Saccharomyces cerevisiae S288C: one gene and its partner. The gene in region 1 interacts genetically with each later gene. Each region holds a gene or a part of one and is shown in the gene's direction. Other genes may lie near its edges. The genes, in order: AFG1 and YOR105W.

Evidence for each region.
Region 2: mutations in AFG1 (region 1) and YOR105W together harm fitness more than expected from each alone (negative genetic interaction), as found in Saccharomyces cerevisiae (one large-scale study listed by BioGRID).

What each region holds. Positions count from the first base shown.
Region 1 is NC_001137.3:54,603-58,679, forward strand, and holds AFG1 (Afg1p), read left to right. Parts: upstream 1-1,968; coding exon 1,969-3,498; downstream 3,499-4,077. Other genes in the region: MAK10 (Mak10p), read right to left, coding at 1-1,500; VMA8 (H(+)-transporting V1 sector ATPase subunit D), read left to right, coding at 3,776-4,077.
Region 2 is NC_001147.6:516,405-519,356, forward strand, and holds YOR105W (uncharacterized protein), read left to right. Parts: upstream 1-1,790; coding exon 1,791-2,117; downstream 2,118-2,952. Other genes in the region: OST2 (dolichyl-diphosphooligosaccharide-protein glycotransferase), read right to left, coding at 45-437; PIN2 (Pin2p), read left to right, coding at 1,238-2,086; SNAP receptor VAM3, read left to right, coding at 2,717-2,952.

The sequences.
Region 1 (4,077 bases):
TTTGTTCATGGAATGAATGGCATTAATATTTGATTCAATATCATTTTGACTATCTTTCAAAAAGGTTTCTAAGTGGTGACTTAAATAATAAACATACCAAAACATAGAGTATGCTTCAAAGGGTTTGTAAATATCCAAATCAAACCCCTTTAAAGAGAATTCGATCATACTTGATAGTTTCATAAAATATGTCCACGAACAGTAAACTTGTGAATTGACACTTTCAAACTGGGCTTGAAGAGAATCCCATAGAATAAGTTGCCTGTTAAAACCTTGTCTATATCTACATGTGTTTTGGGAGCAGTTTTGGTACCATTCTAAAAGCATATTAGAGCTTTCTTGGATAAGTTCATTACCAATAGAGGATTCAAATTCAGATGGAGTTTGTGCTGAAAACTCCTTGACATGTAGCAAATAAAATTGGGTATATGAAAATTTACCCAAAACTGTTCTGTCGTCTCTAATGAAAAATAAGGGGAATAAGATCCTTGCAATGACATGCCTTTGTTCCAACTTGTTGAAGAATTTGGCAAACTGGTAGGTCTCCAACGCAGACTCGGCTTTATCTACAAGGAGTATTGTTTTAACATCATTTGCCAGTGTAATAAAGCCGCTGTAATCCGTCGGTAACTTCGTAATCTTCCTGGGAGGGAATTGATTAGACCTGTGCTTTTGTATATATGTTGAGAACGCACCCTTTGGTGGAGACAGCTGTAATTGTGGAAATATGCCATTAACCGAGTTAGCGTTTTCAATTAGCTCATCCAGGTGGCTTGTCTTTGTGGAATAGTCTGTCAGATGGTCTTCTAAGTGGACTAAGCAAATGATAATTTTTAGTATATGCTTCAGCATAGTTAAATGTAAGCTATCATCAGAATATGCCTCTAATATCTGAAGGCTCTCGGTGAGAGAATTGATAACAACATCTTGCCCCGGCAAATTATCGAATGTATTAAACCCCATGTTATTAAAATTTAAATCCTCCTCTTCAAAAACAATACCAGCACTCAAGAGTTTCTGCACAAATTTTGTTAAATAACAAACGCCAAGTATGCAACTTCCTAGTACTTTATCATACAAAATATTCCCTGTACACCAGGACGAACCGGCAGTTGTTCCCTTAACTAATGACGATAATAAGCTTTCTGTATACCTGCAGCTTAATACAGTAGTGGGTAAAGTCTGGTAGTCATTCAGCCAGGAGATAACACATCTAAGTAATCTATCCGCTATGGCTGCTACACTTGCCAACGGTGGATCGTAGGCCACGTTCACATCAAATTCTATTTCTTCTGCTGTCAATTCTATCAGACTGGAGTCTAATTTGGAGTTGTTGACCTCTAAAGAATGTGTACCCTCGAACAAATCAAACCTGGGATCTTTCACGATAGCCTCTGGTTTTAGTTTTGAACACAATTCATCAAACAGACTTGTGACGTCAACCAATTGGTCAAAATCATCAGTTATGCTCAAGGAACCTAATATACTGTCTACTTCCATTCTCGGAAACGTACCAGCTATTATCAAAGTTGCTCTACACTAGCACAGTTGTTTTCAATCTCAGCGCCACTCTTCTTGCTATTGAAGAGCTGCTATTTTACTTGTATCTCTTCGTGAAATTTCACTCCATCTCATAATTATTACCCGAAAACATAACAATGTGAAATAATCGTATTATGTAAAGGTTAGATAATATAACAACTACTAGATAATACAGTACTCTTATTCATTTATTTAGGCACCTGATTCCACTATTACCTATTCAATAGGTGTGCCGAGTTCCTTTGTCTTACGTAATTTTACACATCTTTTATGGGTCATATTTCGATATGTAAGGTAATAACGGGAATCTCCGGATTTACTTTAAAGTGGGAGGGAGAAGTTCCTTTCTTCTGATTTGCGGGTGCTCCGAAAGAACAAAGAATAAATAGGTAAAGCAGTGAAACATAGTATTTGCTGGTTAAAATCATGATCGCTTTGAAGCCCAATGCTGTTCGAACCTTCCGACAAGTGCAGCATTGCAGCTTTCGCATTTGTCGGTATCAATCTACGAAGTCAAATAAGTGTCTGACGCCCTTGCAAGAGTACGACAGACTGGTGAAGTTGGGGAAGCTACGGGATGATACATATCAGCGTGGTATCATCTCTTCCTTAGGGGATTTGTATGATTCACTGGTTAAATATGTACCTCCGGTTGTCAAGACACCCAATGCTGTCGACCAAGTTGGCGGTTGGTTGAATGGTCTTAAATCCGTATTTAGCCGTGGCAAACCTAAGAACATTGGGGCGTATGTGGATGTATCCAAAATTGGTAACTCGATACCTCGAGGAGTTTACCTATATGGAGATGTTGGCTGCGGAAAGACAATGTTGATGGACCTTTTTTATACTACAATTCCCAATCATTTAACAAAAAAGAGAATACATTTTCACCAGTTTATGCAATATGTTCACAAAAGGTCGCATGAAATTGTTAGAGAGCAAAATTTGAAAGAACTAGGTGATGCAAAAGGAAAAGAGATCGATACGGTTCCATTTTTGGCCGCAGAGATTGCAAATAATTCGCATGTTCTTTGTTTTGACGAGTTTCAAGTCACTGACGTGGCAGATGCAATGATATTGAGAAGGCTGATGACTGCCTTACTATCCGATGATTATGGTGTCGTACTTTTCGCAACCTCGAATAGACATCCAGATGAGTTGTATATCAACGGTGTTCAAAGACAATCATTTATTCCTTGTATTGAACTGATAAAGCATAGAACTAAGGTTATCTTCTTGAATTCGCCAACAGATTACCGTAAGATTCCAAGACCTGTGTCCTCAGTTTACTATTTCCCATCCGATACGAGCATAAAATACGCATCAAAGGAATGTAAAACCCGTCGAGAAACTCATATTAAGGAATGGTATAACTATTTCGCACAGGCTTCCCACACCGATGATTCCACTGATTCACACACGGTGCATAAGACATTTTATGATTATCCATTAACTATTTGGGGGAGAGAGTTCAAAGTCCCTAAGTGTACCCCACCTCGAGTCGCGCAGTTTACTTTCAAGCAGTTGTGTGGTGAGCCTTTGGCCGCAGGAGATTACTTGACGTTGGCAAAAAATTTTGAAGCCTTTATAGTGACCGATATTCCATATTTGTCCATTTACGTTCGTGATGAAGTGAGAAGATTTATTACATTTTTAGATGCTGTATATGACAGTGGCGGGAAACTGGCCACTACGGGTGCAGCGGATTTTTCTTCCTTGTTTGTGGAACCTGAACAGATACTTAATGATTTTGAGTTACGCCCAACAACCAAAGAACCTGATAGCGTCGATACTGGTATGGTAGATGAGATGGTTGAGAAACACGGTTTTTCGAAAGAGATTGCCAAGAAATCGCAGATGTTTGCTCTTGATGAAGAAAGATTTGCCTTTGCCCGTGCCTTAAGCAGGCTGTCACAGATGAGCTCCACCGATTGGGTTACTAAGCCTACATACTAAACCCTATGTAACAAAAGTGTTTATTTATATTCTTGTATTTATTCTAAACACGAACTTTGATCGTCTAACAATTGCCGCAGTTACACCTTTAACAATAGTGCTTTTTATTACTGATATTACTCACCTGATTTTTTGTTACCCGAATGCAAATTTGATTAGGAACGGGGATTGTTAAAAGACAATGGCAGTACAGATAAAGGTTAGATGAAGCAGCAGTAGAATAAATCAGCATCTGTAGTACATAGGTTCCTAACAGCATTGTGAAAAAGGTTCAAAAATGTCTGGTAATAGAGAGCAAGTCTTTCCTACGCGTATGACGCTGGGTTTGATGAAGACCAAGTTAAAAGGTGCCAACCAAGGTTATTCTTTACTAAAGCGTAAGTCTGAAGCCCTAACAAAGAGATTCAGAGATATTACCAAAAGAATTGATGATGCTAAGCAAAAGATGGGGAGAGTTATGCAAACTGCTGCCTTTTCCTTGGCCGAAGTTTCCTATGCAACAGGTGAAAACATTGGCTATCAAGTGCAAGAAAGTGTCTCTACTGCAAGATTCAAAGTGAGAGCACGTCAAGAAAACGT
Region 2 (2,952 bases), on another chromosome or scaffold:
ATACACATACAAGCATGCATGCAAGCACGCCGGCAAACCCTTCCTCAATTTATAAAATGTAAACAAACGAAATGTAAAATCAAACTAGCAACAATAAACTCGGCAAAAGCTCTGTTTTTAGAAATGCCTGGAAAACTATTACACAATTGTAACCGCAAACTCATCAATAGGACGAATTGTCCCACACAAATAATGAATCCCGCTAAAAACGCATTGAATGGAAAATTATCACGGATCAAGATAATGAATGTACACTGGATCACCCCTAATAATACCAAAAAGAAGCAGAATGTATCAATTAGTTTCAGTTTAGGATATTTTTCAATTTGGGCAAAATATGCCCTCTTAGAAGTCTTGAAAGTTTCTTGAAAATCTGTTAAGACTGCAGATGACGTGCTGGTTACTTTTGGTGTGTTTGCCTTTGGTGCTTTTGCCATATTAGTCATGTATTCCTCGTTACAATTCTTTTTGTTGTGTGATAGCGTTATGAAGTATAGCGTTCACGCAGATTCTATTGTATCTTTTTCATCCTTTAAAACACGTTATTCTCTATTTTTGCCCTCACCGGGATTTTTTCTAATAGCGATATACACCCAATCATTGCACTTACGACACAAGTGCAAATAGCAGAGGACCAAGTACTCGCCAAATAGAACCAACAAGCTTCTATCGACTCGTTATTTCCAGTGTGATGAATTGGTTAGGATCCTCAATTGGCTGGCGTATACGCGTGTTTTTTTCGTCATCTAAGTCTTAATGGCTGGTAAAAAAGTCCCCGTTGCGCTGCCCAAATGAAACAGCTTTGATAAATTCTTTTACTGTAAATAATTAAAATGAAAATCCCAGTTTTTCATTCAGTTTCTTGCTACAAAGTATCAGTCTTAGCTTTTTTTTGCTACGAACGTGGCCCTTTTTATGCTTATTTTTCGTTGTAGGAAAATGCCTCTTCTCTTATAACCAAATGGGGAAAAATATAAATGATGCATCTCGAAAAAGCTTCAAGATCTACTGGAACCGCAACTTCTACTCTAGAACTGGATAAAAGCCTAGAAGAACTTCAAAATTAAAGGGGCGCAAGAAAGTTTCAAATATATTACATATTTGCTACTTAGATCAAGAATAACCACCCCCGGTCGTGACTTTTTAGATTTTTTTTATCTTGTTTATTTTTAGCAAAATAACCGTTTCAAGAAAATACTAGAAATATAATCAAAGACTCCCAAGCGTATACACAGTAATGAACGTTTGCAAGTTGAAAGAAATAGTACCACTATTTCCGAGATCGTCCTTTACAGATGGTGTAGTAAGTACAGGAAAAAGTTTCCGAAGCTGGGACACCTGCATGGACAATAAAGCATGTAAAATTATTGCGATTGTTGGTATTGTTTTGGCCTGTATTCTTGTGATTTGGTTGATTGGGGGCTTACTGACATGTTTCAGGCAAGGGGTAACAGGAATAGGTCAGTTCATTTGTTGGTGTTGTCGTTGTTCTAATGACAGAAATGGAAACAATACAATGCCGGTAAATGAGGGTTTTAGTAGAGTTAATATGGGCGTGGCTCCTCCTTCTACTGTGATTTATCAGCCTATTCAACAACCTGAAAGTGCGTATTATAGAAACGATGCGAAGAATGATACATTTTACGACGAAGTCAAAACTCCCAGTAATGAGGTGTATGAATTAGAGGAAGATTTCGATTTGGAAAAACAAAAAGAGAAAACAAGGAAAAAACAACAGAAGGAAAGAAATAAAGAAGGACGCAGCCCTAGTAGGGTGGCCCCTCTAGTGTATGAAGAAGAAAATTTCGAAGGTAGCAGCCCTCAGCCGCAATATGATGCTAGAAATTCGTTTATCCAAAATGCGGCCAATACTGGTAGCAACAACGCTCATGTTGCTTCACAATCTCCAATTTTTGACATCAGCGATTATGGCGAGAACTATTATTACGATAATAATAACATCAATAATAACCTCCAGGGAAACAGTTACAATACTCCCTCCTCTAATCATAGAAGTCCATATCCAACCGAAAATTATCAATCATATCAGGGATATAAACCAAACCAAAGCGATAGATATTACTAATGAGGTAAATATATATTCCCCCTTCTTTTGAATAATCAGTCAGACATTTTAAGATCAAGAGGATTCATTGGTAGATTTTGCAAGAACCAATTAGGAATTTCTTCAGGAATAACTGTGAGCTTGCGTTTACGGAAAGGAAAGTAAAAAAAAATCTTCCAACGAGTTTTTCCTTGTACCGGTTGCTAAAAAGGTGCCTTCTAACAGGTAACACCAGAAACCGCAACTTTTAAAATGCAAATAAGGGCAGTCAATGGTGAACTTCCTCTTGGTCAGTTAGTATGTACAATAAATTAGGTTGTTTTCCTCAGGATAAAAGTGATCTATTTGTAACATATAGTTTACCTAGGTGCTGACGAGGACACAGGAAGAGCAAAACTAAGATCATACAAGTCAATACTTATTATAATCAAATGATAATATTCGTTCAGCCTCATATTCGAGTTTCACATCACAACTTTTTTTTTCGCGAGATGCGCAGTAAAAACTCTATATACATTTTTGTAGTGAATTTTGATTTTGATGTAAAGAAAGCAGCCAGGAGATTAAAGGAAGGAAAATAGAACAATAAAAAACCACGGGATCAGCATTAACAAATTGGCCAACTAATATCCACTGCAGAAAGTTGAGATTATGTCCTTTTTCGACATCGAAGCACAATCTTCAAAGGGTAACTCCCAGCAAGAACCACAATTCTCAACAAATCAAAAAACGAAGGAATTAAGCAATTTAATTGAGACATTCGCTGAACAATCCCGCGTGCTGGAAAAGGAATGCACCAAAATTGGTTCCAAACGGGACTCCAAAGAACTAAGATACAAAATTGAAACAGAGTTAATACCGAACTGCACCAGTGTAAGGGATAAAAT